Diceros bicornis minor: one gene and its partners. The protein of the gene in region 2 purifies or fractionates together with the protein of the main gene of each other region. This does not show direct contact. Links are inferred from orthologs where the notes say so. Each region holds a gene or a part of one and is shown on either strand. Other genes may lie near its edges.

Region 1 (8,138 bases), on a different chromosome or scaffold from region 2:
ACTTCAAACTTGAAAGGATCTTTAAAAACCTACACTGGCTCTGTTAATTTGCCAACAGCTCCAGAATCAGCAAAATATACCTACAGTGCACTGGAGTTAGACAGTGAGAAGACAGGATGAGGTAGGCAGGGCTGAGAAGAAGTTAGGAACTATTCTCTACTCATAACTTTGTTGAGGCATCCTGGCACAGAAATGATACTAAACCAGTACTTCTGGATTTCACCCCAACATATATTCAAATCAGAGACAACCACTCTCCTAAAAAGCAAATGGATGCTTGATATTTATGGAATAATTTATGTTTAATGAAAAAGTAATGGTTACATAAGAATAATTCTTGTAAAAAACCAAACTAGTAGCACATTCCTACGAAACAGACATCCATACTGTCTCAGTAGTGCATTTTAAATTAAGTGGCTTTTAAAGTTCTTTTTTCTTCTAAAAAATATATAAAATCAGGCAGCACCTGAACTAATTCAAGCATATTAATACTCAAACCAATCTGCAGATTCATCTTATTCTTAGAATACTCATCTTTCAATCCTTTGTGCCTAGCAAAGAACAGGCGTTCAATAATTGCATGCTTCTTGTATATTCATATTTTATCTAAGTCATAAAAAGGACACATCTCAAGATTTTATTTCCAAGATAATGGAAAGAGGAAGAAAATCTCTGAGAAGCAAAGGGGAAGAACAGTCATTACTTGGGGGCTTTTAGGTGATTTTCATGTGGAATGAGCTGATGACCCAACATTCTGCTTCCACAACATTTAACATCCCTCGCATCACAATAAAAACTACCAACACTACTTTAATAAGACTTTTTGTCCAAGGCTCAGCAGAGAGGGTAAGAATTGAATGAACCACGGAAACAATTACCCACACACCCATGAAAGTGATTTCTCAGAAGCAAAACACCCCAAAAGAAAAAGGAATGGGAATAACTAGAAAAAATCAAGATGAGCATTGTTGCTAATCATGTTACGTGTACTCTCAAAGTTGAAAATTAAAAAGTATTTTAAAAAAAATACACGAACAAAGAATAAATATAAATAGTTTAAATATTTAATGGAATCTTTTAGGTGAACATCCACGTGACACTAGAAAGCATCAACAGGAAGAGGAAGTTCTGTTTCTGGAGTCGCTGTTATGGTATGATAATGGAATTTGGCCCTTTTAAAATCAACAAATGAGTCTTACAATTGGGTAAAACTCTTATTAGGAAATTCAACTACTTTCTGCAGGAGCACTATTGCTGCACTTTTCATCAAAGTGCCTTCTTTGGCCCCCTTATTCAGTTATTTGATCTTTTTTTTAATGATGTAACAGTTTGAAACATGACAAAAAAAAAAGGTGACTGAAATTTGGGACCAGGATACAATGTCATAATTAAATTGAGAAATAAAACGTAGTAAAGGACTTAATATGCTTCTATTGCTTAACCTAATATTCCAAAGAATAACTCTTAAGAGTAAGGGAACTCCACTTAAACCACAAATGGCCTACCTCAATTAACCAAACAACACCAGGCAACATAGAATAAGAACTACTATAAAAGGCTCACAGAACTCAACAAATCCACCTGTCACACTTGTACTACATAATTCGCTTAGGGTTTGTATCCCTTAAATGCAAATGTCTCTGGAAGACGAAACACTAAAAATACAATAATTAAAATTAAGCCCCATTATTTTTCTTCGCCTTTTTTTAGCTCCTTGATATTGCCCCCAGCAAAAGCCTGCGGTTTACTAGTAATTTCAATATTCTGGAAAATTATTAGATAATAAACACTGTGCAGGTCAATTACTTAAAGGAAATCAAGTTCATAAATCATTATGCAACAGTCTCAGAATGAAATTCACAAACAGAAATTCCTAAAAAGTAACAGTGTCCAGAAACAACAGGACAGGAATCAAAACCGAGGATGCACCAACACCCCAGCTGACTTCGAGCACTGACCTTCACCCCAAATGACCTTCCTCTGGTTCCAAAATAAGGACAGAATCCTAACGCACACTACAGGCAGAAAACCACAATCATGGTTTTACCTATCCCTGCTCTGAGAATCTGGAGGAAAGTTTCTCTCCAGAAAAAACTACATTTCCAAATTCAATCAACCGGGTAACTCGGCAGCAACCCTAGACATATTGCAGAGCTCGGAAACAACCTTCTCTCCTGTGCCTGTCAACGCCGCTGGTCAAAGGCAATCACTGACTCTCCTGCTGGGTCGGCCGAATCCAGGGAGGCTGAGCGCAGGGGGAGCTTCATACCAACCTGTCGGTGATAGTAGACTGTGTGCCACTCATTGGGGCCCTTGGCGAGAGGTCCTCCTTTTATCCAACTTGCATTTTACAGGAACACCTCCACCCCACCCCCAGTGCTCTGGGATCAGGCCCGACTCCGTAAGGGACACAAAAGTCCAACTCAAAACTCCATGCAGTCATCTAGAACGTCCGATTGGAAGGAGTCAAGGAAAGGGGATATGGGGTGGAGCAAAACAAGTTATCTCCCCAAACAACCCGAGGAAGTCTGCCAGAAGGCGAGTTCTAGAGATCAATCCTCGAAAAGGCACAGGGAGAAAACTTCGTCACCGAGGGAAGTCGGAGAACCGCAGGGAAGGGGGCCCGGAATCCCTCCGGGGCTGGGGCGAGACCAGCTCAGGGCTGGCGTCGGCTCCTCCTCCGGAGTCTCGGGGCCTGCACGTCCCGCCCTCTCGTCTCCGCTCTATCTGGGACTGCCGGCCGCTCGTGGCCGCAGCCTCGGCCGCGTCTCGGACCGTCCCGCGCCAGGCTCGCGCGGCTCCATGTCCCCGGGCCGGGGAAGCCCTCTCGTCTTCCTCGCCGCCCCCACCAGGCGCGGGGCGGGTGCGGGTGCCGGCGGAGCGGGTCCCGCAGCCAGAGGTGACAGGAACCTGGTCTCAGCGCCGCGGGCTGCTCCCCATCCTGCGGAGGCCCGGACTCTTCCGCAGTCGGGAGAGGCGGCGGCAGCTCCTCCCCGACGCGCCGAGGGCGGCGGTTCCCGCGAGGGGCGGGAGGTTCCGGTCCGGCCCGGCGTGGAAGTGCCGGCCCCGGAGGCCGGCGGCAGCGGCGGCGACTGGGAGCGCACGGCTGGCTCGCCGGGTCCTGAGGCCCTCGCGGGAGCGCGCGCGGCGGGCGGGGGAGGCCGGCGGCGGTGGGGGCCGCGCGACACTCGCAGGCGTGCGCCCGGGTTCCGGTTCCGGTTCTGTCTTCCAGACCCCGGCCGTGTCCAGCGCGAGCTCGCTCGTCCCCTCCCCCGTCGACTTTTTCGGCCTCCTCCCCTCTGACTTCGGGAAGCCGCCTCACCCGGGATCCCTCCGCGGCGCGCAGGGCCGCCGCGCCGCCCTCCCGCCTGGGGCCCGCCGCCCCCGCTCGCCTCGCGCGAGTTCCCGCCGCCCCCGCCGACGCCTCCGCCGGAGTCTTGTGTGGGGGAGCGAGAAAGTAGTTCTGCGGGACGAGGTGGGAACAGTCGGTACCCGGGAGTCCCACTCACCAACTCAGCAACCCACCGTCGCCCCTGGGGCCCCGGGAATGCCGGGTATCTGTACTTCGGAGCCTAGCTTGCGCTAACTCAGCTTTAACCGGAGACCGCCAAAGAGCGCTCCCCCAACCCCGAGGTGTTCAGGCTGAGAGGCTCTTTGGCCATCACCCGCCCCCTTGTCCTAGAAACTTTTACTCCTTGAGGGAATGTACTTGTTCTTCCGATTTTCTGCTAACACGTTTAGACTGCTTCTGACTGATGGAAGCGAGCTCAGGTCCAGGTGCCTGGACACTGTCCCTCTCTTATGAAGCAAACCCCAGCAAAGGGAGGTTTTGGCCTTGGCCACTCACCTGGGGCACCTGCTGGCCTCGTCTCAGGACAGGGGCCGCCACGCACGCGTCCTGCCTGCCGAGGGAGGGTTGGAGGACGGGGGTGTGCAGGGCTGGGGAGAAAGAGAGTTTGGGAATTGGAGCCAAGATTTCTTGGGATAATATTGCTTTTAAGCTGCTTCTGCCTTGGCAAAATGAAAGGTATTATTTGCCAAATTGAGAAAACATGGTGCTTTCCACAGCGACCTAACAAGCTTGCTGTGGAAAGAAATAAAGGCAGAAAATAAAGTATACTGTATTTATCCAGTAAACAGCATTACAGTTCTCTTTGAAGAGTTCCCAAATATTCTTTCGTTGTTTTTTTCCTACTATGTAGCTAGATTTAGATATCTATGTAGTTTTATGATTGCATAATTCGGTATTGTAGCAATTTAAGTACAACACGCAATTTAGTTCTTCCATTCCTCCCTTAAAGGTCTAAAGTGGCTGTCCCTTTATCCAGCTATTTTCAGACTTTTGAGTTTAAACCCGTATTGGTGGTCTTCAGCCTTTTTGTGGAAATCAAGTGGCAAAGCAAATCTAGTCGTCAGTGGATGTGGCGAGCGGAAACAGTTACAATTACCTCTTAACAATGCTGTTTCTAAAAGTCGACCTACAACAGTTCATGAAAGGATCATTATCCCTGAATAGATGCATGAGCTAAGGCTGACGTTAGAACGGGGTAAAAAAAGGAAAAGATAAACAGAGGCCAAAGATGACTCTTTATTGCTTGAATTTTTTAAGTTCAGGGCACAGCCAGCTAATTTTGTAATGTTTATTTTGGGAAAAAATAGAAGCAGATTAGGGTTCCAAGCCACTTTCCTAATGATCAGACCAGGACACATTGCCACCTGCTGGTGTACCCTAACGTGATAATTCTATCCTGAAAACTCTTTTAATGAAATTATGTATTTTCTACATATAACTGGAAAGAGCTCCATCCATCTATATACACTGACCAAAATGCAAACCTTATCTCCAAACGTATATCTTTCTTAAACATACTAAATATCTTTTTTGCCCTATTCTAATAATTTTACAGTGTAGGTATCAAATTAATTGGACCCAATGACTCATCAAATTATGCATTTTAAAAACGAGTTCCCCACTTCCCTTCAAGAATGCCTCACTACTTGAGCTTCAGAAATAAAACAAACTGGGCAAGTTTCCTAATTCACCTTCTCTTCCTTGCATACAAAACCTCTTGGCAGACTGCTTTCAAGATCTTTCCAAACTTAAACAGACCCAAAGTTCTAGCTGTGAGCAAAGAAGGCATTTGCTGTGGGAAAGCTTCAGAAGATGGTAAGCAAAGGATTTAATTAAGCCCAGAACTATTTTTTCTTAATGATGAAAATCTCTATATTCACCCACAAAGCGCTAATGGTAAAATGTCTGTGAAAGCCTCTTTACAGCTGTTGGTAGCTCTAGACTGTTCTAAAGGGCTCTATCTACAGAACGCCTTCAGAAGAGTCACACCAATCTAGGTAGTACACACTCCCCAGGGTCGTTAGTCTTTTGCCTAGAAAAATGACACAATCCATTGTGCATGCTGTTTGAGCAGGTTTTCCATTGGAGGGTTATTCTAAACCACATTCTCCTCCCCTCATCCATTCTTTCAACATGCTTACTGAGCACCTACTCTGCATCTAACACTGTTCTAGGTGTTGGAAGTACAGTTCTGAAGAGAGCCAAAGGCTGTGTCCTCATGGAGCCCACTCAACATCATCATTTTCAAGGCAACTGCCCACACAGGTGGCAAAATAAGAAAGAAATTAGGTTCTTCCTCTCTCTTTTGGCAAAGTGTTTTCTGTATGTAGAGTGTTGCTCCAAAAAGTAAAGAATGGTAGGAATGGTTGATGATAAGCAGCAGATAAGAGGTAATTCACCAATAAGTATAAATATGGGTCAACATTTCTACAGGTCAAAAGACTTTTTTCCCCACTTCTTGGCAAAACCACAACAAAGATATAAACGCAGACTCTAGGTTGAGAAAAAGTTGTTTATTTTTATAAAATTTAGTACAAATCTTATTGAAATATAAATCCTTCTTGAGCAGTGTTAGTAATTATTACATAGTAATCCAAATGCAAATGAGTCCTGCATTTTGTCCAACCACACCACATGTGAATTAGCCCTTCATTTACCTGTGATGTAAAAACTCAGCATCTCAACTGCTGAGGCATATTCATTTCACATTTTTCTCTCAGAGAGTTTCCTTCATAGTTATTAGCTATGACATCAAGAATAGTTGAAATGAGGAATTCTCTTTCCCTTATCATTGTTTAGGTTTCTCAAAATTCAAAGAAACTCCCATGAGAGTACCCCAAAACAGCAAGATCTGCAATCCCTTCATTTCTGAAGAGTAAGGAGAAAAGAATTGGTACCAGATTAAGCCTATTCATTTGTCTGGTATGGAACAGGTTACACTGTGCCAAAATTCAAGAGCCAGCTTTTTCTTTTTTTTTTTTTTGAGCTCATGCACCAAGCCACTTTTTTAGTAGGCTTTCGCTAAAATCAGCATTCCCCAGCATCCTACTTTGACCACAGATTTGTTAGGAGGAAGCTAACTAGCATTTTAGGGATACTGATCATAGACAAATAGAGATGGAGATGCTACTGTCAGATTATTTCCATGTCCAGCAAAACTCTTTCACCAAATGACAGTCATTTTAGAAGACCCACTGTTAACATGCCTTTAAAGTTGCTTTTCCCAGAGCAACGATGACTTGATGCAGTTCCAGTCACTCCGTCATGCCTGGCCAATGACATCCATTTTCAAGACCACTCATTAGGTTAAGATTACCAGTCACCACAGGATGGGCTCACACTTCCTGCTTTCAGCCTTGACTTCAAGAGCCCCATACACTTGCTTACCAACTGAGCTAATCAGTCACCACAGATCTAAATAACATAAATAAATAAATAAACAACAAATATACAAATAAATAAATACTTCACTTTTTCATAAAAGCCCTACATTAAACACCTCCATGAATAAAATGCCACATAATGTCTCTATGAAATACCCAGCAGGGTATTTCATTCATTCACAAGAGGGTTCAAATTGAGGCAAAGAGTAAACAAGTGACCTGCCCAAATGATCCAGCAAGTGAGTAGCAAAATTAGTTAAAGAGCCCAGGAATTCTTGATTCCCATCCCCTTGTTCTGTGCTTACACTCTTGCTTTTCCTAGGTGAGATCAGAGACTATCGCACTAAAAAATATTTTTTCCTTCCAAGTCTGGCCTTGTTATAATATTTTGTCCATCAACACTGGCACCTTTTTCTGAGAAAAAGTAGTAAAAGGACTGAAAGGGAATGTATCTGAAATGCAAAAATTAGCCTTATCCCACTGAGGCCAGGACATGCTTTAGTCTTTGGTTCTAGCCTGCAGCGTGCACAGCAGAGCTGAAACTTGAACTGTCATCTCAAGCATAGTGGAATCCACAGGGTAAATCCCTGTGGAATTTAGTCACAGCCTCTCATGCCTACGAGATTAATGCACAAAGCCCTGAGAACTGGCATAGTTTTCCCGGTTGGGCAAAACCCGTACAACAGGACTCGGTAAATCTGCCCACACCTCATTCATCTCTCATCCAAAGCCCTGGCTCTATGGTTTTTGTGCAGAAAAGAGAACATAGCAGGACTGAACTGCTATCCTTGGAAAGGGCTGCTTGTAAGGCTGGCCATCAGCCAGCATCTGGGAACTTCGATTTCAGGAGAGCTCCCACCATTAACTGATAAGACTGGCTCACTGTGCCTAAAACTCTTTGTGCAAACAATATGGGTTATGCTGAATACCTGCTTTCCTTCTGGGAGTCAGGAATTTTGCTACATCCCAGTAAAAACCCTGGGCACTGAGTCTCTAATGAGCTTCCTTGGTGGACATTTCACACATATTGCCACAAATCGTCGATAGTGGAATTAAGCACATCCTGTGTGATCCCACTGGGAGAGGGCTCTGGAAGCTTGGGCCTGGTTTCCCCTATACTTTGCCCCTGGTGCTTTTTCCCTTTGCTGATCTTTCTTGGTATCCTTTCGCTGTAATATATCAAAGCAATGAGTATGACTATGTGCTGAGTCCTGTGAGTCGTCCTAGGGAACCTGAGGGTGGGCTTGGGGACCCCCGACACAGTTGGTACAGGGAGGCTCAGTAAGTACTCACCACCACTACCACAGTCTCACCCCCATCCTTCTCTCATCCTCTATCCCCCTTTGTTTAAGCAGATTCAATCCCCTGATCCAATAGTCAGAATGCCAAAGGTACGCATCTTC
Region 2 (8,210 bases):
TCTGCTCATTTACCCAACTACATTCTACTGCTGAAATGACTCCTACTTTGTTACAAAGCATGGACTTTGTGTGCTCATTTTTGTCCTTTATATCTATTACAGCTCAAGGGATATTCCTGAAATAAACACAGGCCATAAAAAAAATTGTCCTAAAAGTAGAGATGACAATTTAATCATAATCTAAAAACAAGTCCCCCACCCCAGGATTTCAGAGTTAATTATGTAGTATCTAAAAGACAACTAGTGCATTTATGGGCAACAACCTATCTCATTTGAGGAAAATTTTAAAGTTCTATCTTAACTAGAAAGATTATACTATTCATTTTAGCTACAATGAAAACCAGTGTTACAGCCTAATTCTAGTTCCTATAAACCTACTAAACAGTGCACAATATGTATAACATTCTAGAATTTACACCAGAAATGATAAAGCAACATCATATCACCATTCAAGGCTGTCAACTTAAGAATGAAAAAAGACAGAGAAATCAAAATTCATTCCAGAACCATATTCACGGCCTATCTTATCCTCACTCCTGTGTGCCTTCTTCAAACCTCAAGTTACATTCTGGAACACAATACCAGTTCTGCAGGTTTACTGAACAGTCTACTAAATGAACTGAGATCAAGGCACCCTGGTCTGGTGGAAAGGACGGGGTCTCGTGGTCAGATGACTTGGGTGTGAATCCAGACTTTGTCCCTCTGGAGCTACATGACCTTGAGCAAATATTTAATTCTCAGAGCCTAAATTTCCTCATGTGTAAAAAGACAAGACCACCAGCTTTGATAATATTTTGTTGATCAAGTCCCTCAGTTAGTGTTCTGATTATGGCAGATGCCTGATAAATGGGTGACGATCTTATAATACTAAAGGGCCAGTTCACAAATTATTACGAAGTCTCTTCCTATGGGGCTCACAATTAAACTGTATGAGATTCATTAAAGTTGTAATATTTTTTTCAATCTTTTACTCAAAATATTTTAATATGTAGAAATGAAAATTTCACAGAGGTTAGAAATCTTTTTAGGGCCGGCCCCGTGGCTTAGCAGTTAAGTGCGCGCACTCCACTACTGGCTGCCCGGGTTCGGATCCCGGGCGCGCACCTACGCACCGCTTCTCCGCCCATGCTGAGGCCGCGTCCCACATACAGCAACTAGAAGGATGTGCAGCTATGGCATACAACTATCTACTGGGGCTATGGGGAGAAAAAAGGAGGAGGATTGGCAATAGATGTTAGCTCAGAGCTGGTCTTCCTCAGCAAAAAGAGAAGGATTAGCATGGATGTTAGCTCAGGGCTGATCCTCCTCACCAAAAAAAAAAAAGTTTAAAGAAATCTTTTTAAAACTGACATTTTACATATCAAAGATGGAGCTTCAATAATCAACAGACAATGAAAATTGCTTCATTTAAAAAAAAAAATGTTTAGGGTGTTTATATTTCTTCAAACCTCACGTGGTCAAAATTTTTAAACTTTCTAAAGAAAGCTGTATTTTAGAACCCAGAGACAGGCCAGTTATCTAAACAATGGGCTACATGATACACCACAGTCTCCAGACAAAGTCACAACAGGATGAGAAAAGAGCCTTCAGCCTCTCTCAGATTTCCTGGCCACTGTTATTTTAAAACCTGATCACATAAACATAAACAGAGAAAAAAATCTATTTCAGATGAGCCCCATGCGTTATGATTTATGATCTCTGTTTTTTATACCTTGCATTAATTTACATTAAATAGTGCAATAGCTCATTACATTTTTCTTGCTCATGTTTCCGGGCACTAATGAAGAATATACGTATATTATATATAGTTCTATATATTACATATTTAGAGTTTTGAATCATGATGATCTTAAAGTTGTTTATCACTTCTGTTACTGCCTTTTAAAACTAGTTTTTGAAATCAAAAATATAACAAAAAGCTGGGAGAACAATAGCATGTCACACAGAACATACAAATGCGACGGGCAAATCTGCCTACAACTAAAATGTGCATGTAATTCCTGCCCAACTGAAAATACTCAAAATGAACTGGATATTTAAAAGTCAATGAGTTATTCTGAACAGTTGCATTGTTTCAAGATCTGGCTATAGCCCAATTTGTGCTGTTTCTAAAATTAATGATAAAAGACACCAAGGTAATTTTTTCACTAAACAATTTCCAACTGGAAAACCACAGCCCAAGACATCTACGAAGTGGAGTTAATTTGTACAGAAATGCCATTTTGCTGCCAGCCTTTGTACCATGACCACTGCCAGCCCAAGTTCAAGAGTCACATTTTATGGTGTTAACAGCATGAGCTAAATCTTAAGAATATTCTTTTTTAAAACTCTCAAACCCTGACTACATTTAGATACACTGCATCTACACCACCAGAGCACAAGTGCAAATGAACCTTTTATTTAGCACGTACATCAGTCTATTAAGTTTGGGGCAGTCTTCCCAGTTCTTCACTAATATCTGTAGATTAGGATTTAAGCATTCCTCCACCGCAAACATCATGTCAGATAAAATGTAATGTGTTTTCTGAAATTGTATGAAAGTATTTCTGACACCCATGTTTTATAATAACCCTATCAAATTATTTCCTACTTAAAGTCCTAGAATTGGAGCTTTTAATCGTTTTAAAGAGTCTTTGGAAATTAACAAACATAAAACCTGTTGTTCAGTAGCAGATATATAAATTAGCATACTCAAAGTACTGGACCATCTAAAGACGACAAATGGAGCTTTAGGTAGTCCCAACCTGGTCCCCTACATGATTAAACTACTAGGTTAATGTGTGATCCGCACCTCCCAGAACAAACGGCACTACTGCTGCGCTGGATTTGAAGCTTGTTTACGAAAGAGAAAATAAAGCCACCACGGAGTGGCCCGGACAGAGCGGACACCAGAGCGCCCTGCTTCCACCCGGGAGCCAGCGCAGACACAAAGGTATCCCGGAGATGACAAGTCCCTGGACGCGGACGCCCATTGTCCTGCGGAAACGAGCAGCAGCCCGGCGCCGCCGCCGCCGCCGCCGCCGCCCTCACCTGCTCCCCACCCGCGTCCTCGGAGGAGCCCCGCGCCCCGGCCCGGGCGGCCGAGGAGCCCCCGACGCAGGGCGGGCGGCGGGGAACGAGGCCGACGCCCCCCGCGGGGCTCCGGACACTCACCGGGCGGACCACGAAGGCAGGTGTGCGGCGGAGGGCTACCTGTCGCCGGTGAGACTGGAGGGCGGGGCAGGAGGTGACGAGCGTGCGCGCAGAGGGCGACGAGGCGGACGCGCACAGGGACGGGCGGCGGCACGGACCAGGCAGAGCTCGCTTCCTGCTCGGACAGTCGCCGGGTCCGTCTCCGCCCGCCGGCCGGCGCCCCGCGGAGTCCCCGGGCCCGCGCACGTCACGGCTACGGAGCGCCTGAGGGGGCGGGGCGCGGGGGCGGGGCGATCGGGCGGAGGCGGGAGAGGGGCGGGGCGATGGAGGGTGGGAGGGCGTGGCGAGAGAGGGAGGGCGCGGCGAGAGAGGGAGGGCGCGGCGAGAGAGGGGAGGGCGGGACGGGGCGACTGGCCTGAGGAGGAGAGGGGCGGGGATACCGGGCGGAGAAGGGAGAGGGGCGCGGCGGGCGGGGGACGCTCCGCGTCTGGGCCCGCGGTCCCTGCCCCGGCCCCCCCGGCCAGCGCGCGGCGCGGAGCTCCCTCCTCGTTCCCGCCCCTGCGAAGCGGCGTGTTGGGCGGCTGTTGTGGTTTGCACCCCTGGGAGCCGGTCCTCTCCGGCCTGGGTGCGGTGACTGCAGTCCGGCTCCAGCGAGACTCGGCTCACGGAGGGAGGGTGGTCCGGGGAGGGGCGCGGACCGCGCGTGTTCCGAGGGCGGGCAGGGCCCCGGCAGGGGCTGGGCGGGGAAGAACCACGGCCCCGGGCGCGGCGGCTGCCGGGCTGCCCTCCGAAGGGGGTGACCTCCTGCGCGACAAACCTGCCAGTCTGCTTTGGGAGCAGGGGTCTGAGATGGGAGTTTTGCATTTCTTTGGCCTCCGTCCTGCCGCCGCCTTTACTTGTCAGAGCCCCGATCCTCTCTGTTGTTTATATTTTAGTGTTTTTATAAGTGACCTACCTGTGAGTCATATTTCAAAATTAAATGTGAAGAAGCTATGCAAAATTGAATTATGTGATAAAAACATACATTGCCTTTACGAAGAAAAGAAGCTTCTTTTAAGAAAATGAAATGGTGATTGACTATGATGCTCAACGTCTCCGCCGAAAAAAGTTCAAGTACCTATACCTGAGAATTACACTTTTTCCCGCAACATTTCTGAGTGCAACTAGGAAACTTCAGGAAATCTAGAAGATTCTGATGGGAGACAAGTTTCAGATATTCAGATGTTCCACAGTTCTTTTGGTGGAAAAGCTAAGTTATGATGAGATATTTTAGCATACAACTAAAACAATAAAATATTAAGAATAAAACAGGGAAGTAAGAAAGAGGAAGAGAAACCAAGAAAGGAACTAATTTACAGCAATCTCAGAAATTTAATTCCAGATTGCCCAGAGGTAAACCTTAAGTATATAAAACTAGATTTCAAAAGGAATTGCAAAAAAAAAAAAAAAGAGCGAGAAGGAGAGGATGATTTCAGTTCACGACTTTGACTTTTTTTTGGATTTAAGATTGAAAGGCTTTGGCAGAACGATAGAAGCCAGTACAGTTTATTGTGAGTGAGGACTTGTGGTTTTTCTCTCTCTCCTCTGCCCCCACTTCCAGGTCATTCCTGAGTCCCTTAGATTCTAGCTCCATATCTCTCCAGTGTATCGAATTCCTCTTCAGAGCCACTGCCGTCATCTTGCTTCAGGCCACCGTCATTTCAGGTCTTGCGTACTGCTTTAGCCACCGAACCAGTTTCCCAGGCGGCATCTTCTCCCTTCTAATCCAGTGTCTGCAATGCTACCAGGTTTATATTGTATAAAATAAAAGTCTGATTATGTACTCCTCTTTGAAGACTCCTGTAGTGGCCCTGACTACCCTTAGTATAAAATCCACACTCCTTAAAATGTCTTCTATGATCCTTGGACTGTGTCTGTTTGTCTAGCACAGTGGAGATCTCTTGCGTTTTTTCATTTAATTGAATTTGAATGCCTCCTCATTGTTCCCCAGTTCGTCACTGACTTAAACCCCATAAAGCTCTGTTAAACCAGGCTTCTTCACACAATGTTTCCTGCCTGTCTTTGGAATCACTTAACCATTTAGGACCACTGTCCTAGCCCGGCTTACCTGTCCAGTCTCATTTCTATCCATTGCCTTTCTCCATTTCTTCACTTTATGTTCAAGCAGTTCTGAAGTGCTTGGTGTCCAGAACAGACAGCTATGCTATTTATTACACTGGAGTGTTGCCAGCCTAAATCTAATTAATCCTTCAGAATAAAGCGTATTTGTCCCCTCCAAGTTTTTGCTAACCCCCTTATTCCAAAACCCAGGTGCAATTTGGTGCTCTTTCCCGTCTCTCTCTCAGCACCTATTGCACATCTCTCTTCCAACACTCATTTTACTATCGCTACTTTCATTTACTTACCTGTTTCCCCCAACCGGCCTGTAAACTCCTTGAGGGCAGAAAAGGGCCCTTGTTTGCCTTCGTGTCCCTAGTGTGGAGCCTGGTGGCTTTTACATGGTAGCTACTCATTAAACAGTGCCTATCATTATTATTGTTTTGTTTTGTGAGGAAGATCAGCCCTGAGCTAACATCCATTGCCAATCCTCCTCTTTTTGCTGAGGAAGACTGGCCCTGGGCTAACATCCATGCCCATCTTCCTCCACTTTATATGGGACGCCGCCAGAGCATGGCCCAACAAGCGGTGTGTCGGTGCGCGCCCGGGATCCGAACCCGTGAACCCTGGACTGCTGCAGCCGAGCGTGCGCACTTAACCACTTGCACCACCGGCCGGCCCCCTCATTATTATTGTTGTTGAATAACTGGGACAGATGGATGAACAAACAGCAAGGCAGTTGACAATCCTAGGAAATTGTGTATACTGTCATTAAGCATGGTGGAAGTAACTGTGTCATATTTGCTGCCAAAACTCATCTTAACAATTTATTCCATATTTATGTTTGTTAAGTGTTTCAACTTTGCTCTCACCATTAAATATTTGTAAGACTCTTCCCCAAGTCTCCTTGTACTACTTCAGAGATTCCTAAACTGAGATCCATGGATCCGCTATCATAGATGGAGGCTCAAAGTACTGCCTCTGAAACAATATGCAAGATTTTGTGATTTTGTTCCTTCATTTTTATGGGAATCAACGTCTTAGGTGTTTAAAGAGGCTCTGCACCGTCCCTGGCTGATATCCACTTTGACAGCTTCAACTGCATCAGTGTTGCAACTCCTAAGGTAAGGCAGACTGAACACCCCACAGAAACTCAGTCTCTTTCCACTCCCACTGCCTCAAATGATTCCTTTGCCAATAGACCCTGTTATAATTATGATACTACCAGTCACTGGTCTCAAAAAGTTGTGGATTTTAAGTTACACAGGACTCCTTCCCTTCCTCACCCCTGGTTTTGGAGTCAACTGAATTCAGTTCATTCTATGTCATAAATTCCTTGTAAGTTGATGTCTTTATCTCCATCCTCCCTTAGTGCAAGCCATCTTCTTTCATCTGCACTCTTGACATTCCCTCTGCTCATTCCAGTCTGTTCTCTCACCACTCCTAGAGAGTTACCCCTCCCCCAAATCCGATTCTGTCACCCCCTGTACCGACTCCTGGTGACGTTCAGATCCATTAACACCCATTTACATGGTGTACAGAGCCCTTAACAATCCTGAACCTGCCCTGTCATAGGAGTTCTAATGTGTCAAGCCCTTTCATGATGCTCCTTCCAATCTTCAAAACTCAGTCCATCATTTTCTCTGCCCTGACCCTGGCAGAATTAGTTTTTCTTTTCCCTGTTTTCCAGGGCACCCACTGTATATCTGTATTGTAGCACTTATTAAGTGGTTTTATGATAATATTTCTATATTTGTTTCCCCCCGTAACAACTCTCCAAAATATTGAGCTTTTTAATTAGAAAATCCACCCTATTATTTTTTTATCCCTAGAGACAAGCTCATTGCTTGCCTCACTGAATTAATAATAATGACAATGCTGAAATCTATTGAATGCTTACTATGTGCCAACACTGTGCTGAGCAGTTTACATAGACCATCCCATTAAATCTTCACAGCCCTAGGAGGTAATATGGTGAGCATTAGCTTTTTGCCTGCCTAGCTTCTGAACTCCCATCCTATTTGTGGAGAATCCTTAATTTTGAATCTTGGTGATTGCAAGGACTACCTCATAATTAGGAAACTGAGTTTGGCCAAAGTCCTTCTCCCCGTTATCTGGCAACTAGGGCATAGGAATGGCATGGGACCTAGGTTAAGTGAATTGGATGCTCTCACCTGAAACTTGGAATCTGGACAAAGTGAGGCAAAGATGCAGAGATGGAGAGAGAGTTCACAGTGGGGTAGGTATTGTGGCAACCAGAGTCTGGTCATGACAGTGCCAACAAAGACATCCTAAATGGATGGCCCTGCACATTTTACACACCTAGTTCTGCACCATCCCTAGTGAGTCTGTGAGCTACATGATATTCTTCCACTATATACATTCTTTCTCTGGATAAGTTAGGCAGGGTTTGTTTCTGTTGCCTTCAGCGAAGCACCCCAATTGATACAGAGAAGTTCTATCATTATCCCCACCTTACAAAAGAGGGATGAGTAGGTACTCAAGTATTTATTTAATGAATAAATAAATGAGATATTTACAACATTATAATTTCTAAAAGAAGTGTTGATCATTGCCTCAGTTATTAGCAGGTTTGTGCTAGTGGTAATCGTCTGGAATTTATAGGGAAATAAATTACAGGAAATAAGCAGGTTCCTAAAGAGATAGTCTTATGATTTTTTCCTTATGGTGTATCTTAGCCCATCCTCATACACCATCAACATCTGCATCTCCTGTACTTTATCATGAAAAAGTATTTAATGTAATCATTGTAAAATCCTAAATTGTTTCTTTAAAAAGATTGAATGATGTTTACCTACCTGAACTTACTCTAGAAAGAAAGTAGGCTAATATATTTTAGAAATATTTTTAATATAAAGGACTAAAATTAAAGCTGACATGTCACTTATCAATAGATACTTTAAAAAAAATTCCTTAACCAGATTACCACACATCTTATCATTCTCGCTTCTGGAAATTTT
Region 3 (8,202 bases), on a different chromosome or scaffold from region 2:
ATTGCCCCAAATATTGACATTAAGTGCATCAAACAACAAAGTGTCTTTGGTATATTAAACTTTTGCTCTTCATGCATCTGTCATTTCATTTTCTTTTTAAATATAAAATTTTTGCCTTTGTTACAACTAAATTAAAATTCTTGAGTGTTAACATGTTGTATATAAACGAAAGAATATGCTTTGTTGGAGGAAAATTTCCTTTCTGGAATGTGGTTGTAGTCATCCTTTTTTGGTTCTTTAAGTTTTTTTTAAAACAGGATGCAACTTAAAATTTCCTTTGCATCAAGGTGTATGCAAAACATTGATGCAGTGCATCACAAAATGAAAGTTTGTATTTAATGAGGAGATGCTTTACACTGTACTTTTTGGTGTTTTTTTGGAAAAGTTACATTTAGATCTATTCTGAAGCTGTTCATTTTTAACAAATAAAATGTTACAGGTCTCACATGATTTATTCTTAGCTATAAAGATTGAGTTGTGGTTTTTAGATTGTTCTATGTTACAAAGAACTTTGTGGTAATTATATTTAGAATTTTTAGAGTTTGCAAAACTATGTACCAACTAAGTTGGTAAATCAGTCTAGATTCATATTGACATCCTTGCAGCTGCCTTTTGACCATTTTATTCATAACTCCAACAGAAGTAGCCAGGAGGAGTTAACAGAGAGAATCAGATTTACTTAGAATGCAGAATATTAGGCTGGATGAGCCTTCAGAGATCATCTAGTTCAACCCCTCTTTTTACATCTTAAAGTGAGACCTAGCTTTTCAAGACCTGTGTGTGGCGGAGTCACTTTCTGAGCTCAGATCTTTTAATTCTCAGTTCATAATAAACTGTTCCTGTGAGTTGAACACCCACAGAAAGTAGTGGAATAGTGTGTGGCTTGTTAGATATCTAAGAAGTGGTAATAGCCATGCTTCAGCATTTATAGTGTGGTAAGTAAATCTACTCTGCCAGTGCTGATTATGAGGCTTCATTATGAGACTTCATTACTTTGGTATTCAAGTTATGTAGACCTATTAGAAAAGGCCAGTGTTCCTAATCAGACATTATATATATGTGTATTTTTTTCTAATAGGCATAAACTTCACAATTTTAATTTTAAACAAATCATAAAATACTTCTAAGTATGAGGAAACTTACAGGCTTCATTGCCCAATTGTTATTTTTTGTGAGAATAGATATGTATGTCATATTTTCCTGTAGATAGCTTTATAATTCACACAACTTACACAGTGTTGGGGTAATTTTTTTCAGATTTATATTTACTATAAGGAGATAAGAGAGAAAAAATAGCTGACTTTACAGAGAGTGAATATACACTCTGAATGCAGGCAATATTAGGGCAGAAAATGATTTCTTTTTTTTTTTTTTTTTTTTTGCTGAGGAAGATTCACCCTAAGCTAACATCTGTTGCCAATCTTCCTCTTTTGCTTGAGGAATATTCGCCCTAAACTAACATCTGTGCCAGTCTTCCTCTATTTTGTATGTGGGTCCCTGCCAGAGCATGGCTGCCAACGAGTAGTGTAGGTCCGCGCCCAGGAGCTGAACCCCGGTGGCCAAAGTGGAGCACGCCAAATTTAACCACGAGGCCATGGGGCCAGCCCGATTTTTTCATTTCTGAGCAGTATACCTTTGAACTTGCATCAGAGTTATATGATTGTTTTTTGCCACTGTGAAAAAAAATGAAGCATGTGATTTAAGCTTCCCTTTAAAGAGAGTTCTTTTTGCGTAGATCATTTTGGAGTTAGTCCTTTTTATAAAATGACACCAATAAACCCCAAGCATTTACAACACCAATTCAGTACTGTTGTGGACCGTTAACAGAGATTTAAATATTTGCTTATAAATCGTTGACTTCTGATGTCTCTCTTTCCCCTGCCATTACAGTTTACTTTCTATCTGAAACCTATTCAACAAAAAGCTTGATAAAACTAGGAAATGTGATAACCATTCTGGAACTGAATTCCTTGTTCTAAGTGTATTTAGATGAGGTTTACTGATGTTTAAAGATGAATAGGAAACTATTTCCCCAGTGTGTATGTGTTTAATTTCTACTTCCATTTCCATTTTCCTCTAATAAAAGAAAATCACATTGTCTAAATTTTAAAGTTTTAAAAAGTCAATTATTAGTGCTTCTTATTAAAGAAGTTAGAAAAGGGAAGGATCAGACATTTATTGAATATATTCAACAAGTCAGTTTCTGTGCTTTACATTTGAAGAGAATGGGATTGGCCAAGATTTTAATCTTAACTGCTTTGAGTTATAGAAGTGGAGATTTAAGGAGTGACCATAATATATTTCTGGTGAGTAGAAGGGGGCGGGGGAGGACTTTATTTCTGCGTGATGTAGTGAGATGCAGAGATGGAGAGAGCTATTGAGGTTTCAGTGCGACTTTTGCCCCTAGTATTCAATGAGTTAACTCTCAGCTTGTAAAATAAACAGGAAGAAGCAGGGAAGTTGTCTATATCAATTCTTAACATTCAGTAACTCCCACTGCCTGTTTTTTTAGCTGCTTCCAGTCAACAGAGCAGTAGTGGAATAAGTTTATAGATCCCTGTAGCCCTTTTGCTCACAGCCTTTTTGCAACTGTTTATCATCATTTCTTTTATTCATCTCTAGGCTCTGGTGAACTCACAATGACTCCATTTCCTATATCATTCTCACAAGATGATCTTATCACTTGCTTTATGGAGAAGATTGAGGGAGTAGGATGAGGATTCTCTCATTCTACCTTTACTTTTTAGATGAAACCTCAAATCCTTAGAAGTCTCAGAATTAGCTCTATTCTGAGCTATTTTTTCTTTCAGCCTTTTCTTTACCTAAGAGTTGTTCTCATATAATGGTATATATAGCATCTTCATTTTCCCCCGTATCCATGGGCCTTTCTTTTGGCCTTCAGATATCTTCAGACTTATGTACTCTGTTCTCAAAAATTGTTATTCTTTTTTCTGTCCTCCCAACCTTCTCTCCTGTTAGTACGATAACCGATTGTCTGTCTCTGCTTCTTTCCACTCATCCTTTACTATTTTTTAACTCCTGTTAATATACTCAGCCCTGGGATATGGATGGTAATTATAGAGTTTAACATATTAAGGACCTTAAAATCTAGTTGAGTAGACAAAGTAACATCAATCTATAAACTTGGTCAGAATTTAGAGACCAGGATTGGCATGGTATGTTGTAATTATGATGAGATGTACAGATAGATAGAAAGAATGAGGCCATATTACAAAGAACTTGTCAGAAGAATTTAGTGTAAATGTGGAAGGTAATAGGTAATCAAATATAGATGACATAATGGTGCATTTTAGAAAGATCTGGCAACTATTTCTATAGCATTGTAGAGTTAATATGGAATATATGATTATGCTGTTAGTCATTGTAGTTGACATATCTCTAAAAGATATAAAATGAGGCCCTGCTCTTAAATAGCTTAAAATCTTTCTAAGAATAATAAAATTTTAGGAGACCAGAGTAAAGGAAACCAATTCATGCATTGGATGAATGTTATTTGCCAAGGATGACAAATACATCGCTTGCCATTGTGGTGACCCATGCTCATATAACAGACATTGATAATTGATCCTGGAACTTGTTGCTGAAGAAACTAGAATGTGGTATTAAGAGTTCATAGAACAACTCTCTGAGCAGCTGTTACTAACAAGCTTTGGCACTGAGATTAAAATTTTTTATAATCTCTTTCGTTTAGGAGTTGGGGGAAGTGCTAGTCAAGGTTTCATTGAAGAGCTAGGTGGGATCAGCTGGGGTGATAGGTAGGATCTCTCCAACCTTATTTTCTCTTGCTGTCTGACGAACTTTTTGGCTTGTAGTCTTAATGTTCTCCACATGTACCAGTATAAATCATACCTGCTGTGTTCATGCTGATCCTCCTCCCAATCTGGAGTATTGCTTTCACCTTCCAGCCAATTCCACTTCCTAATCCTTCAGATTTTATTCAAAACCTCATTCATCCCTGATATTGATTCCTTTTTCTGAACTGTGATTGATAATCCCCACCACCCCTTTGCTGTCGTCTTATTCTCTAATTGGTGTATTTGTTTGGATTCCATAATTAGATTATAATCTCCTAGGGAAAGGGTTGTATCTGACAGCCTCTTCTGTTTCTCACAGTGAATACTAGTTGGTTGATTGTAGGAGAAATTTACATCATGTAGCAGGAATGGCTTAAATGTGTAACACAAAAATATGTTGAAGACTGGTTGCAATATGTGAGGTATAATTGGTTTAAAATGTGATATTTTCTACTTTTTCAGTAATGGTTTCATTTTTTACCATTTCTTTGGTCTACCCTTAATTCCCTCATTTAGATTATGGTCAGATCATTTTCCTCAATTTTGGTTGCAGACCAAAATTTTAGACTTTAATGCCGTTCATCCTGCTTTGCTCAACAATAAAATCTTGCCTAAAGGACGAGTACTATTTAATAAAGGGAGGGAGGGCCTAAAATATTCATATAACCCTTTCAATGAGAATTATGGAGTTTGGGAGCCAGGTTAGCACTTACATTTCCCTCAGGCAATAATAGTTAATAAATCCACAACTCTCCATTTAGATCATTTGGTAAATGTTTTAGGTCGTATCCCAGGGTCCCTTCCTCTCGTTGCCCAAGTTTCCGGCAGCAACCGTGTTAAGGGGCCTTAATTTAATGCTTAATCGAATCCTCCAGTACTGAGGGAGAAAAGCAGAGAAGTTTTGGTGAGGAGCGTTATCTGAAAGATATTTTTGTAGAGGCGTTTGAGAAATGCTGGTCACCTGGAGTAGGGGGCTGCACCATATTTGTGAGTTCCGTTTTAATTTCCCTTGAAAATCACGATGTGGGCGGAGGCAAGCGCCTGGATGTGTGGAGGGGCACCGCAGCCCTGCCCATCAAGGGAACCGTCGGGGTCTGGATGCCCCTTTCCCCGCCCACCCATCAGTTCTGGCCGCGCATGCGCTGAGCCAGCGGGCCGGAGAGTTGTCGGCTGGGAAATGGCGGCCGCGGGCTTGGTCGCTGTGACCACGGCTGCAGAGTACTCTGGCCCAGTAGCGTCGGGAGGTAACCTCTCCGGTGTTAACTGCGGCCCAAGCTCCGGGGCAGGCGCTGGTCCTGGCCCGGGCTCATGGAGTCGCTCCCTCGATCGAGCGCTGGAGGAGGCGGCGGTAACCGGGGTGCTGAGCCTGAGCGGCCGGAAACTGAGGGAGTTTCCCCGGGGAGCGGCCAACCACGACCTGACGGACACCACTCGGGCGGGTGAGTGGGGCGGGGGGCATCCCTGCCGACGGAAGGCCCGGGGCGGGGCGGGAGGCCACCCCAGCCGGTTGGGGGGAGTGGGAGTATTTAGAGCAACTGGTCCCACAGCTTCTGGTCGGGGCTCGGGTAAGGGGGAGAAGCCGACTGCCCCAACCCACCCAGCCCCCCGGGCCTGCGGGCCAGACCCCAGACCCAGACCCCGGGCCTGGCGAGGCGGCGGACAGCGGCGTCTCTCGGGAAGAGGACCGTAGGGGCTTGATGGGTGGTGGTGTGCTCGCCTAGAAAATTAACTTCTGCCGCTGCCGAGGTAGTGCCTTGCCCCGCCCCGGTGCCTGCAGGCCCTTTCGGATTTGGGATGCCAAGTTGACTTTGCTAAGATTTGGGCTTGTAGCGCGCTCTTCTTAATGGATCAGAGTAGCATTGGTCGCCGCGTTGTCAGGAAAGCATCGAGCTCGGCGCTGGCGTTTTTCCGAAAGAGTTGTTTTTAGTGTGAACCCAATCGCTGTAACTTTTCCTTCTCCACTTTCATGTAGTTGACTTACCAAATGTACTTGTAAAAATAACTAGAGCCCACCTTCAGACTCCCATTGCTTTCCTCTCTCCTCATGCCCCTCAAAAAAAGTTGAAGGAAGAAAACCATCTGAAAAAGATACATAGATTGCCTACCATATCTGTATTTAATGCTTTTTAAAAACAAACATTACTTTGCTTTATACATGTTTTTAAACACAGGAAAGATAATAAAGAATTAGGTATTATTTGGTTTTCTTAGTTGTAGAGAACAGTGTCTGGTGACTGAAGTGTTCAACATAATATGTTTTTCTTGTGTTTAAAATATAGCTTCCTCAGGGAGTAGATTAAAAACTGAGCCTATTCATGTTTTACACAAACACAAAGAAGGAAGAAAGTCCCTTATGCCGGTTTGTACAGTATGATGTGGTTAAATATTTTATTTTCATATAGTGTTTTTGCAACCAAAAAATGTACTTTGTGTCTTATATTTATTCCATTTTATTTACTTTATCTTAAAATCTTTGATAACACCTTTCCTATGTTTGTGCACTCATTAAAGACTGATGAGTATTACATATGATTCACTCATGTTAGAAAAATAAACAGAACTGTTAAACCAGTTCAAGAAACTATTCTTTCCAAAGAAACTTTTGCTCTAGTGTAAAATAGGAGAAATTAAATGCCTACTTATTTAATCTCTTTTTGGACATAGTTGTACTGAATACAGTTTGTATTTTTTAGTGAATGATAATAAAATTAAACTTTCTTGCTAAGGTAAGTTTGAACAGCCACTTGCCTTTTGCATATGTTCTCATAGATGACATCTAAAATTGTCATCATATCCCAAATTTCCTGCTTCTGTTATGGCATTATGGTTGTTCAGGAGTTGGATGGCATAGTGATTCTATATCAGTGTGAGTCATTTCAGTATTACTATATTAAGCCTGAAGCTAAAGAATAGTTGATTACAAGAGTTTAACCAGCTCCTTATCATACCTGCTTTTAAATAGTTCTAGGACCAACATGTTTTGCCTTTAAGAAATATTTTATTAACTCACAAAGAAAACCCAAGGGCATTTGTGAAGAATAAGTAATCCCAGTGAATTTTTCTCTTACTGTGCTCTGAATTTTTAATTTGTTATTATCTATGCTTATTTTATTACTTTCATAGTTTCTTTATAAACCAAATTTTTTGTTGGTTGACATGTTATCTGGTCAAAAAGTGTAAAAAAGAAAAAAGATTACAAGGTATTTCATAGCTTACTAGACTAGATTCATTTCTAACATTTTAGAAATATTACTTATTTAGTATGAGAAATCTTTGGCAGACCTTGGTAACTAAGAAATCTTTGGCAGACCTTGGTAAATACAAAAACACTGAATTATTCTAAACAGATAATTTGATACAGATAACATCATTTATTGAGTATTCACTGTTTCCTATTCATTGTTAGGTGTTTTAAAGTACATTGCCTTGTTAAATGCTCATAACAACTAATGGATTAAATATTATCCCACTTTACGTATGAGGAATCACTCAGAATTTACAGTTGAGGAATCACTGAGAAAGACATATAACTAGTATTAGTGGTAGACTTTCAGCTCAGGTCCATCTACCTCTTTTCTCTCCACTGTATCACACAGCCTCCCTATGTACAGATAGATATTACTGTTCCTGTTTACGGATAGTACAGCCAAGGTTTGGAGGGATTAATTTGCACAAAGACCTGTAGTTAAAGGCCGGGAAAGGTGGTATTAGCCAGGATTTGAGCCTAGTTTGAGGTAACTCCAAAACCGTAGTCTACCTGTTACACCAGGTACTTTGATGAATTCAGACCCAACTTATATTAGCTAAAATGTTTTGTTTAGATCCTATAGAAAATTTAAAGCCAAGAAAATTATTTGAATGCTATGTATATCAAAATTGCCACACAGTCTGTTCTTTAATAATGTATGGAATGTATCTAGTAGAGCTGCTGTCCTTCAAGAGTTTACATTCTAAGAAACAGCATATATTATCCATACCACTTATAATTTGACATGATTAGAATTCATTAGGAACATTTTCTTGAAGTTTTTCCCTCCTGTTTGTTTAAAAAGGTAAAGGGAAATATTTGTTTGGGAATGGGTGACTTGATCCAGTAGACAAGGAAAATCTTAGAAAAAATCACAGAAGACCTCTTGGGGCAGAAAGGATGTAGCTTGGATTTGGGTAAGCAGAAGTGAGAAGGAAAGCCACTCCAGGCGGTGGCTGTATGCAAATGGTGGCTATATGTATCCCCTCCAGGTGGATAGTATACACAAAGTCTTAGAGTATAGGGCACGTCATTAATTTTGCCAGTCATACATTCACCTTTCATCTGATAACAATACTTCAGTTTTCCTAGGGAGTCACCCTTTTCAGTTACATGGATCCCACCCCAACACAAGGGTGT

What was found. The genes of interacting proteins can lie anywhere in the genome.
Region 1: the proteins of MYO6 (region 2) and ARHGEF12 purify together in Homo sapiens (affinity purification with mass spectrometry; 4 studies listed by BioGRID and IntAct, counting the BioPlex papers as one, with this or other methods). This does not show direct contact. The link is inferred for Diceros bicornis minor from reciprocal best matches to the Homo sapiens genes MYO6 and ARHGEF12.
Region 3: the proteins of MYO6 (region 2) and LRCH3 purify together in Homo sapiens (co-immunoprecipitation; 3 studies listed by BioGRID and IntAct, with this or other methods). This does not show direct contact. The link is inferred for Diceros bicornis minor from reciprocal best matches to the Homo sapiens genes MYO6 and LRCH3.

What each region holds. Positions count from the first base shown.
Region 1 is NC_080746.1:16,732,231-16,740,368, forward strand, and holds the start of ARHGEF12 (rho guanine nucleotide exchange factor 12), read right to left. Parts: upstream 3,225-8,138; 5' UTR 2,306-3,224; coding exon 2,274-2,305; intron 1-2,273. UniProt on the Homo sapiens protein: May play a role in the regulation of RhoA GTPase by guanine nucleotide-binding alpha-12 (GNA12) and alpha-13 (GNA13). Acts as guanine nucleotide exchange factor (GEF) for RhoA GTPase and may act as GTPase-activating protein (GAP) for GNA12 and GNA13.
Region 2 is NC_080762.1:54,978,721-54,986,930, forward strand, and holds the start of MYO6 (unconventional myosin-VI), read right to left. Parts: upstream 3,314-8,210; 5' UTR 3,154-3,313; intron 1-3,153. UniProt on the Homo sapiens protein: Myosins are actin-based motor molecules with ATPase activity. Unconventional myosins serve in intracellular movements. Myosin 6 is a reverse-direction motor protein that moves towards the minus-end of actin filaments.
Region 3 is NC_080754.1:26,794,235-26,802,436, reverse strand, and holds the start of LRCH3 (DISP complex protein LRCH3), read left to right. Parts: upstream 1-4,978; 5' UTR 4,979-4,992; coding exon 4,993-5,254; intron 5,255-8,202. UniProt on the Homo sapiens protein: As part of the DISP complex, may regulate the association of septins with actin and thereby regulate the actin cytoskeleton.